Ovis aries: one gene and its partners. The protein of the gene in region 2 purifies or fractionates together with the protein of the main gene of each other region. This does not show direct contact. Links are inferred from orthologs where the notes say so. Each region holds a gene or a part of one and is shown on either strand. Other genes may lie near its edges. The genes, in order: PNN, SNIP1 and NKTR.

Region 1 (3,749 bases), on a different chromosome or scaffold from region 2:
TTCCTAAAATTTTCTTAAAACTGCATTATTTAACAAGAGTTGTTTTCCTCCAGAAAGATACTTAAGATACCTTTGCTTTCCCTTTTCATCCATATTTTGATCCTGGATAAGGTCTCTGCGCGTGCGCTCTTTGGAGGTAGCTACAACTGAAGACTGCAAAGCTGGCTGCAGGAGAAAAGAAATCTCAGTAATTCAACTAACATACAGGTAGCACTCTACTAAATGTAGTAAGGTGAAAATACTATATTCACCCTCTATGAAGTTCTTTTAATTTCAATTACCTTCTTAACATCATCATCCTCTGGGTCGCTTTCTTGGCGTGATTCTCGTCGAGTCCGACGCTCCCCTCCCAGCCTGACATAGGAAAGGGAATTTTAAAAGGCCAATTCAAACTTTGATCTCCTACAGCTCCCAACCAGGGAGAAGGCAATGGCAGCCCACTCCAGGACTCTTGCCTGGAAAATCCCATGGGCGGAGGAGCCTGGTAGGCTGCAGTCTATGGGGTCGCTAAGAATTAAACACAACTAAGCGGCTTCATTTTCACTTTTGCATTGGAGAAGGAAATGGCAACCCACTCCAGTGTTCCTGCCTGGAGAATCTCAGAGACAGGGGAACCTGATGGGCTGCCGCAGTCGTGTCTGCACAGAGTCAGACACGACTGAAGTGACTTAGCAGCAGCAGCAGCTCTCAACCCAGTTAAGCTTTTGTAGTATAAGACAGGAAAGTAACACAGACAGACAATCTCCTCCATCTTATCTTTCTCCTGACCTTTACTGTGCTTTCTTTTTTTAGTTCTACCAGTTTACTGCTACCAACCCATCTCCCTCCAATCTCTATCATGCATGCGTGCTCAGTCATATAACCCCGTGGACTGCAGCCTGCCAGGCTCCTCTGTCCATGGACTTTTCCAGGCAAAAATATTGGAGTGGGTTGCCATTTCCTTCTCCATGTGCTAAGATTTCTGTTACTGCCATGAAGAACTGAGTTTTGAGGGATACTGGCTATCTCAGTTCAGTCAAATACCAAGTGAAAAGACTCAGAGTAAGTGATATACTACTCAATCCTAATACAACTCAATTCAACAATATTAAATATTTACATTCTACCTCATAAAATAAAGTATGCTTTCAGAATCTTGTCCTCCAACATACCTACTGACTGCCCCTTCAAGGTCTCTCTGTTTGGCTGGGGGTCCTCCTCCACTATCTGAGAATCCACGCCTGCAATAAAAATGTCCAACATAAAGCATATGAAAATTAAGAAAAATGGTTATTTCTATTTAAGAAGATAATTTAGTTGCTGTTATTAAAAACTCCTCTTCCAAATAAAGTAACCTCAAATGGACATTTACTTCAAGATGGATGTTCTTATAGCATTTCTTTTAGATCTATGAGAATATATTAAGTTTGCACATAACTGATATAGTTACCGTATTCTTCAATCTCTAGCTGTATGTAAATTAACCATACAGAGAACTACAGCTAATCACAGCTTCAAATCAAACTTTTCTTAACACTGGCTCTAGCAAGAAATTTGTTTAAACCGATTCATTAATTTAGTACAGTACCAATAGATTAAATTTTAAGGAAATCTTACCTCAGCAATAAACTACCACGTCCTCTACCTCCACCAGGACCAGAAAGGGCGAGCAATCTGGCTTGGATGGGCCTACAAAATAATTTACAAATCAGTTCAACAATCGTTTCTAACAGCACCAAACACTTCAACGGGTGCAGTTCACCATCAAGAGAAAATAAACAGAAAAGTTTCAAGATGACGGTTTCAAACCCGAAACACGGCAATAAGCACTTTACTAACTTCCTCGTTTTCCCAAGACCAGTTTCACAAAATTGTATTTATCTTAACACCACTACACGTTAACAGGCCTGAGTCAGGTTCAAATTTCACCAACCCAAAGAAAGTTGCACGTGGGCAAGAGCCGGAGGGTGAGGCAGCGGACCGCGTCCCCGGAAGGTCCCAGGGCCAGCCCTGAATCGGGTGGCCCGCGAAGGAGGAAGGCTTTGTGCTGCAGTTCCGGGCCTGCGGGGCCGAGGGCGGGAATCGGCAGTCCCGGCCTTCCCACAGGACCGGAGACCATCCCGGCGCACCCAGGCTCCGCTCTCCTTCCTCACGCACCCAAGACCCAGGACTTAACGCTGAAGGCCTTGGAAATTCCCACCTCACCGAGGACAGGGTCCCACGGCTGCCCGCGAACAGGCCTCGATGTTCCAGTCTTCTCAGGGCTGACCGCCCTCCCCGCCCCCAATTCACCCCGGCTTCACGGCCGCCTCTGGTAGCCAGCATTTCCCATCCACTCCTTACCTCACGTCATTCGGATCCCGCCCGGTGAGCTTGCGAATATTCTCATCCACATTCTTTAGGCTCTCTTTGGCCTTTTCTAGCTGCTCCTGCAAAGTTCTCACTGCGACCGCCATCTTCTCCCTGCAGCAGGCTTCGAGACTGCTCTATAGGCCGCGCCTGCCTGTGTCGCGCCGCAAGACGCCAGAAGACTGACAGCTGGGTTCGGCCAATGGCAAAAGGAGTTGTATTTCGGCCTCAACCACTCAGCAACCGGAAGGGGGAGAAACTGCCGGCCTTTGTGACTCTGGGCCAATGAAAAGTGAGGCAGGGGTCTCCTCCTTCCCCAATTAGCTGCGGGTGGCTGGGCTCCGCTTCTAGCGCAGAGCTGGGGCGGGTTTGAGTACCTGGGTCCTCGGAGACGTGGGTTCGCGGCCCAGCTCTTCTGGTGAGGAGAGCGGGGTCTTCCTGGCCCTTTTAACCTGTAGAGAACGTGCCTCTTATGATTTTACCACCTGATACCCTCAGAGTAGGGTTCAAGCGAGTCTATTTCCTCGTCTTCCCCCCAGTAAATGATTTGATTAGGAAAGGGTGCGGCCATTCCGTTGGTGCGCATGCTCAGAGAGGCGGTGGGAGGGGCGCAGACTTCTCTTGATTAGGTTAAACCTTAAAAGAGCGGAGGGAAGAGAGTGAAAGAAAAGTCATTCCTCCTAATAGCTAACAGTTATTTTGTACTCTGTGAAACACTTTACATACATTATCCCCTGCCGGGGGCAGCGTGAGGAATTCCGCCCATGGCAAAGGTCATGAGGAAGGAGGCTTGGCATACGCAAAGGCGTGATCAAGCCTCAGGAAACCCCCTGTTCCCGAGCATCTAACCCCAAAACCAGAGTCGGTTTTATGCTCTCACCTACACCTCTGACTTTACGGGGGGCTCTCCCCCATAACCGTTTCTCTCTGAGAAGGAGTAAACGTGCAGCTCCAAAGCAATAAAAATTCCTGGGCGTGACAAGAGTGTTTCAGCTTACGGACTCCTCTGAAGGTTATCTAGCCCACCTGTATAGGTTCGTCTGGCCACATGTGATTGTCTACAGCCTCCTAACCTGAGAGGCATGAGATGTTTTAGACTTACTAAAGGCAAATCTTTTGGGGAGTTAGAAATTATTAGTATAGTTGGTTAGGAATTATATTGGTGAAGGGTTTTTCATTTGTTGTGTCAATAATTGCTACTAATTCCCTGCTCTGGGTGGGACAGGGATGTCTCAGGTCAAACCTCTCTGCTGACAGACTAGCTTGTGTGACAGGATTATCCTTACTGCTGCCACTAGGCACATGATTGTTTACTACCTCTCAACCATAAACAGCACAGAGTTTTGGAGTATTTTGAGAGTCTTAATTAGCATAGGACTTTTTCTTCTTGTTGAGTCAATGATTGCCACCAGGCCTCCATA
Region 2 (3,649 bases):
GTCCGGGAAGATTCCACACGCCACAAGGGAAACTAAGCCTGCATACCACAACAAGAGTGTCGCCTCTGCTCACTGCATCTAGAGAAAGTCCACTGCTGCTGCTGCTGAGCCGCTTCAGTTGTGTCCGACTCTGCGCGACCCCACAGACGGCAGCCCGCCAGGCTCCCGCGTCCCTGGGATTCTCCAGTCCACAACAGCAACAAAGACCCAGCACTGTCAAAAATTAAATAAAACTTGGAGGAAAGAGCACAAGACGATGACTGAACGCCTGTCCCTCAGGAATGAGGACAGGGCAGGAGAGCCTGATCTGACTGCTCTTGCTCCACTCAGTGCGAGAGTCCCAGCCATGCAGCAAGGGGCAATAAAATGAACATGCACTGGAAAGGAAGACAGACAGAACTGCCCCTGTGCAGACGTGACTATCTATGCAGAAAATCCCAAGTTTTAGGTTGGGATTTACTTAGGCCAAATAAATGAGTTCAGTAAGGCCACAGGGTGTAAGATAAACATACAAAAATGGATCATATTTCTATGTACTAGCCATGAACAAGTAAATACTGAAATTCAAAATATCACTTGCTGCTGCTGCTAAGTCACTTCAGTCGTGTCTGACTCTGTGCAACCCCATAGATGGCAGCCCACCAGGCTCCCTCGTCCCTGGGATTCTCCAGGCAAGAACACTGGAGTGGGTTGCCATTGCCTTCTCCAATGCATGAAAGTGAAAGTGAAGTTGCTCAGTTGTGTCCGACTCTTAGCGACCCCATGGACTAGAGCCATCATTTAATGATAACTTAAAAAAATTACTTAAGTGCAAATCTAGCAAAACACATACAGGACTTGTACACTGAAACACTGATAAAAGAAATCAAAGATCTAAATAAACAGAGATACACCTATATTCAAAGACTGGAAGACGCTACATAATTTTTTAAAATTTTTCAAAAAGTACAAGTTTAACACAATTTCAATCAAAATACTAGCAAGTTTTTTCAATAGATACAAACAAGATTGTTCTAAAATGTATGTGGAAAGATAAAGGCACGAGAATTCCTAAAACAATTATTTATTTATTTGGCCATGTCCTGTGGCATGTGCCTCCTTAGTTCCGCCCAGCCAGGGACCAAACCTATGCCTCAGAGTCTTAACCACTGGCCTACCAGGGAAGTCCCAGCAATTTTTAAAACGAAGAAAGTGAAAGAACCAGTCTGTTCAATTTTAAGACTTATTATATAGCTCCAGTAATCAAGACTGTGGTACTGGCAGAATGACAGATCAATGGCACAGAACAGAGGACCCAGAAATAAAGGCACACACACACACTTTTGATTTCTGACAAAGCAAAAGCAATTAAAGGGAGGAAAAATTGTCTTTCCACACCTAGTGCTGGAGTAAATGGATATCCACGGGGCGAAAAAGGAAATTTGATTTAAGGCTCCTTCCTTAGATTAAAACAAACTCAAAACAGATCATGGACTTAAATGAATATTAAAGAAAAACGTATCTTCAGGTTCTAGGGTCAGGGAAGTTCTTAGACATAACACCAAAAGCATAATCTGTAAAAGGAAAAACAGACAAGCTGGACTCCAAACAAATCAAAAACTTTTGCTCTGAGGAAAACTCTTTTAAGAAAATGAACAGACAAGATACAGACGGAAAGAAAATACTGGAAAACCTCTCACTCCAAAAAGGCCTGGTATCTAAGAATATATTACCAAAAAAAAAAAAACCTCTTAAAAATCAGTAGTAAAAAAACCCAAAACAATCCAACTAGAAAATAGGCACAAGATCTGAAGAGACATTTTACCTAAGAGGAAACACAGATGGCAAATAAACACATGAAAAGATGCCCAACGTCATTAGCCACCAGGGACATGCAAATTAAAATCACAGTATCACTATCACTTATCAGAATGGTCAAAATGGTCACAATACCAAATGCTGGATCACTCACATTATAAAAAGGGATAGCCACTGTAAGGACTGAATTGCGCCCCTTCCAAATTTACATACTGAAGTCTCAACCCCCACACCTCAGACTGTAACCAGATTTTTTGCAGGTAAGGTCTTTGAAGAACTGATTGAGTTAAAATGAGTAAGCCCCTAATCCAATATGGCTGATGTGGTTAAAGAAGATGTGAGTCAGAGATGGGCGAGCACAGAGGGAAAGACTATGAGGACCCAACAAAGAAGGCAAGCCAAGGAGAAAGGCCTCAGGAGAAACCAAACCGCTGAAACTTTGATCTCTGACTTCTAGCCTCTTAGATTCCGTTGTTTAAGGCAACCAGTCTGTGGTATTTTGTTATGGAAGACCTGGCAAACTAACACAGCACTCTGGAAAACAATTTATTAATGTTTTAGGAAAAAAAAAAAAAAAGCACCTACCATACCATCTACAAACTGCACTCCTGGGCATCTATCCCAGAGAAACGAAAACCTATGTTCACACAAAAACCTGTACAGAAATGTATACACAGCAGTCTTATGTCTAATAGCCAAAAACTGCTAACAACCCAGATACACTTTAATGGACAAATGGTTAAATCCATACCATTGACTACAGTTCAGCAATAAAAACGAAGGAACTACAGACAAAAGCAACAATATAAATGAATTCCAAAAGAACTTAGCTGAGTGGAAAAAGCCAATCCAGAAAGGCTACATACTGTGTGATTCTATTTACATAGCATTCTTGAGGAAACAAAATAACAGAAATGGAGAAGTGACTAGAAGCTGCCAGGAGTTGGAGGGGTAAGGGTAGGCGGGAACTGGGTGTGATATAAAAGAACTACTTGAGGAATCCTGTGGTGATGGAAATGTTCTGTATCTTGACAGAACTGATGTCAACATTTTGGTTGGGATATTGTTCTATAATTCTGTAAGATGGTACTATTGGGACAAACTGTGGCTTTTGTATTACCTTTTACAACTGCATGTGAATCAACAATTATCTCAAAATAAAAAGTTTAACAAAGAAAGAAGAAAAAAGAAAAAAAAAAGCCCAGTTTTTGGAGAAGCCCACTGCAGGTACAGGAAAACACACACACACCACTTTAGCTATGATGGAGAGGCTCTAGGTTTGGAGCCAGTACGAAAACATCTCAGTCCACTTACCTGCTTTATTTTGATTGCTGAGTGGTGAGGACTTCGGCTTCTCTTACTCCGGGGAGACTTGCTTCTTCTCCCTGAGGATTTGTTTTTCTTTTTGGCTGGGGACCTGTTCAGAAAATGGTACACACATTTATCTCAACTTTCATTCCCTCATACAAAACAGCTCCAAGCATCAGGCATATCCAACTAACACAAACACCATGTCTTTGCTGATCACACTAAAAGAATCAGGAGCTTCACTTTTCTGGTCCTATGTCTTCCACATACGTAACTGCCTACTAGAACTTCTCACTTAGATAGCAACTCTAGATTCCCAACCACCCAAGACACTTTCCTCTGTTTTCTGCCAGCTGGATAATTAGTGCCACCATCCACCCTGTTCCTCAGGCAAAAAACCTAGAAGTCACCCTGATTCTTTTTCTCCCCTCGACCAACAGCCCTCCATGCTCCTTCCCCACACAATCACGATCTATCAGCAAAGTCTCTGGCTCTGTCTCCTCGCTCTCCAATGTCATTCCTACCACTCTCCTTGATTACTATA
Region 3 (3,649 bases), on a different chromosome or scaffold from region 2:
CAGTCCTTGATCTTGAGCTTCCTCTAGAATAAGACTGAGAGTGAGATTTTGATCTGTATGAGTCTCTGCTGGAATGGGTTGAAGAGCTCTGGTCATCCTTATCAGATTTAGACCAATCCCTCTTGGACGAGTGATGAGATGACGATGAGGAAGAATGAGATCTCCTTTCTCTATCACATGAAGATTTCACTCGTCGGGTTGAAGATTTTAAGGATTCTATGTCAGACGGTACAATAATCCTTCTTTTCTTGGTCTGTTTGTGCCTTCTGCAATGTTTCTGCTTTTTAGCTTTCTTTTTATGCTTAATCTTTTTCTCTTTTCTGCGTTTTTTATGGTGACCATCAGAGTGTCTTGCTGTACTCAGATCTGAATAATATCCATTATAGGACCACGATCGGGATCTCTGGGACAAGCTCCTTTCATCCCATCGGCTTGAAGAGGGGTCACTTAACCTATAAAAAGGACATAATATGCAGGCAGTTATTTACAAGCATGTTTTCTAACCTTTAAAATTAAAACACATTTGTTGTCAATACTAGGCATCAACAAAAGCCTAGTTAACAACCAAGTACTAACTCTTATTAATGCTTTAAGCACACGTAGGAAGGATAAAGCAAATAGTTGATAGGCCTGGTCCTGAAATTATAAAACTTCAAAGAAATAACTATTAACAGATTCACTTACAAAAGGATTTTTCCAAAGTCAAATCAGGAATTTTCAAATTTGATAGGAAATAGTTTTGAAAAGCAAACCAACTAATTACAAAAGCACTGCTGACCTACCAAATTCCTGGCTTTGATCTGCTCAATAATGCTCTGCCTTCAGGAATAATTTCTGAGGGAGTCAAATCAAGTTCCCAAACAATTTGCTGATTCTCTGTAGATATAGGATAACTGCCAAAACTTTAAGAGAAGCCTCCTTTTTTTTGGCTGCATGACTTGTGAAATCTTAGTTCCCCGACCAGGGATGGAACCTGGGACCTGGCAGTGAAAGCTCCAAGTCCTAATCACCTGATCACCAGGGAATTCCTGACAAGCCTCTTTTTCTTTCTTTTTTTAAAAAATAACCTTATTTATTTCTGGCTGTGCTGGGTCTTCACTGTTGCAGCATATGCTTTCTCTAGTTGTGGCGAGTGGAAGCTACTCTAGTTACAGTGTGTGGGCTTCTCATTATGGTGGCTTTTCTTGTACAGGCTCTAGTGCACATGGGTTTAAGTAGTTGCGGCTCCCAGGCACAGACTCAATAGTTGTGGCACACAGGCTTAGCTGCTCCAACGCGTGTAAGATCTTCCCAGATCAGGGATTGAACCCGTATCTCCTACACTGGCAGGCAGATTCTTTACCACTGAGCTACCAGGGAGGCCTGCCTCTTTTTAAGAAACTAGCATGACTATTGTTTTATCTCAGGATCATAGAGGTAATCATAGACTTTTCATTAAGGTTTTAGTTAAACTACTTAGTACAGAAATTGGGAGAAAAGTACACGAAAACTAAGATGCAGGCTTTACAATATCAGTGCTAATGTCAGGGCTCAAAACTGTTCTCAGAGCTACCATATCCATACCGCTTGCACACAGCACATCACACACCTTGTCCTCCCTCTCTGAACTCTGAACCATTCCGCTGGATGGCCACAGAGAAAGACAATTCTACACAGGGTCCCACTGATATATTTTGCACTAGCTATTCTGGGGCCAGCCCCACTTTTAAAATAGATAATCCACTGTGGAGTGTCACTGAAGACAAGAGATGGGTACACTGCTGAAGAAGCAATAGTCCCTAGGGTCAGACGTTAACACACACACTGGCTACAAATTTTCTTATCTACCATTAGTGACTAAAAAAAAAAGGCTATGAGAGAATCTGCTACGTAATTTTTAAAAATAAAGTCCTGATTATTGCTAAAATTAAACAAGAAATCTTTAAGAAATTCAGTAGGGTAATGCTCTTGTGAGAGAAAACAGAATTTTGATTTAAAAGTATCCAAAGCCAATCATCCCTCCTTCCATTTCATCAAGCATTCCCAAATGTATTCTCTGGTCACAATCTAATTTTAAATATAAATCTTTAGTGAAAAAACCAGAAGTATGTCTCTATCCCCTTAAGACTTAAAATACAGCAGAGAAAGGATTGTACTTTTACTTACTTATCTCCTTTACTCCATTTTTCTCCACTAGGTGGTCTATATGCTCTTAATCTCTGCATTTCTTCTTTCCAGTGAGGAGGAGTTTCACTGCTATCATCATCATCTGATTCAGAACAGGATCTTGATCTTGGAGGTGTGTGATAGCGCTTTAAAAACAAAGTTAGGAATAACTATTTAAAAAATACTTCCCAACTGTAATCTGCTATAGGACAGCTAAGTATAAGACTCAATCTTGGATGCCATTCAAACGCAATAATGACTGAAGTACCATAATGATGGTATAAAGTTAAATCAAACTAAAAGAAATAGGAAAAGCAGATATTCACCTATAATCACACACAAACTTTTCCTTAGAAGTCCTAATGATTATACTCATTAGCTTATTCAACATACTAAGATTTTTGAACATACTATTTCACATTCATTTCAATATTTAAACCCATTCAAACATAGCAGTAAACACTGATCTAACAGCAGTGCCTTTGCATAACTACATATTAACTAAGAGAATACAACTAGCTCCTTGGACAGACTTTGGACTATACCTAAGATTAATGCTAGGATTTGCCTACAGGTAAAAACATTTTTTTTTGGGTACAGTTCTTCTGTGTATTCTTGCCACCTCTTCTTAATATCTTCTGCTTCAGTTATGTCCATACCATTTCTGTCCTTTATCGAGCCCATCTTTGCATGAAACGTTCCCTTGGTATCTCTAATTTTCTTGAAGAGATCTCTAGTCTTTCCCATTCTGTTGTTTTCCTCTATTTCTTTGCATTGATCGCTGGGGAAGGCTTTCTTATCTCTTCTTGCTATTCTTTGGAACTCTGCATTCAGATGTCAGGAAGCAACAGTTAGAACTGGACATGGAACAGACTGGTTCCAAATAGGAAAAGGAGTATGTCAAGGCTGTATATTGTCACCCTGCTTATTTAACTTATATGCAGAGTACATCATGAGAAACGTTGGGTTGGAAGAAGCACAAGCTGGAATCAAGATTGCTGGGAGAAATATCAATAACCTCAGATATGCAGATGACACTACCCTTATAGCAGAAAGTGAAGAGGAACTAAAAAGCCTCTTGATGAAAGTGGAGAGTGAAAAAGTTGGCTTAAATCTCAACATTCAGAAAACGAAGATCATGGCATCTGGTCCCATCACTTCATGGCAAATAGATGGGGAAACAGTGGAAATAGTGGCAGACTTTATTTTTTTGGGCTCCAAAATCACTGCAGACGGTGACTGCAGCCATGAAATTAAAAGACACTTACTCCTTGGAAGAAAGGTTATGACCAACCTAGATAGTATATTCAAAAGCAGAGACATTACTTTGCCAACAAAGGTCCGTCTAGTCAAGGCTATGGTTTTTCCTGTGGTCATGTATGGATGTGAGAGTTGGACTGTGAACAAGGCTGAGCGCCGAAGAATTGATGCTTTTGAACTGTGGTGTTGGAGAAGACTCTTGAGAGTCCCTTGGACTGCAAGGAGATCCAACCAGTCCATTCTG

Evidence for each region.
Region 1: the proteins of SNIP1 (region 2) and PNN purify together in Homo sapiens (affinity purification with mass spectrometry; 4 studies listed by BioGRID and IntAct, counting the BioPlex papers as one, with this or other methods). This does not show direct contact. The link is inferred for Ovis aries from reciprocal best matches to the Homo sapiens genes SNIP1 and PNN.
Region 3: the proteins of SNIP1 (region 2) and NKTR purify together in Homo sapiens (affinity purification with mass spectrometry; 3 studies listed by BioGRID and IntAct, counting the BioPlex papers as one, with this or other methods). This does not show direct contact. The link is inferred for Ovis aries from reciprocal best matches to the Homo sapiens genes SNIP1 and NKTR.

What each region holds. Positions count from the first base shown.
Region 1 is NC_056071.1:46,897,352-46,901,100, reverse strand, and holds the start of PNN (pinin), read right to left. Parts: upstream 2,516-3,749; 5' UTR 2,436-2,515; coding exon 2,323-2,435; intron 1,669-2,322; coding exon 1,597-1,668; intron 1,221-1,596; coding exon 1,152-1,220; intron 355-1,151; coding exon 282-354; intron 166-281; coding exon 71-165; intron 1-70. UniProt on the Homo sapiens protein: Transcriptional activator binding to the E-box 1 core sequence of the E-cadherin promoter gene; the core-binding sequence is 5'CAGGTG-3'. Capable of reversing CTBP1-mediated transcription repression.
Region 2 is NC_056054.1:12,368,490-12,372,138, forward strand, and holds part of SNIP1 (smad nuclear-interacting protein 1), read right to left. Parts: intron 3,215-3,649; coding exon 3,112-3,214; intron 1-3,111. UniProt on the Homo sapiens protein: Required for pre-mRNA splicing as component of the spliceosome. As a component of the minor spliceosome, involved in the splicing of U12-type introns in pre-mRNAs. Down-regulates NF-kappa-B signaling by competing with RELA for CREBBP/EP300 binding.
Region 3 is NC_056072.1:14,760,469-14,764,117, reverse strand, and holds part of NKTR (NK-tumor recognition protein), read right to left. Parts: intron 2,970-3,649; coding exon of another isoform or gene 2,955-2,969; exon of another isoform or gene 2,910-2,954; intron 2,292-2,909; coding exon 2,146-2,291; intron 453-2,145; coding exon 1-452. UniProt on the Homo sapiens protein: PPIase that catalyzes the cis-trans isomerization of proline imidic peptide bonds in oligopeptides and may therefore assist protein folding. Component of a putative tumor-recognition complex involved in the function of NK cells.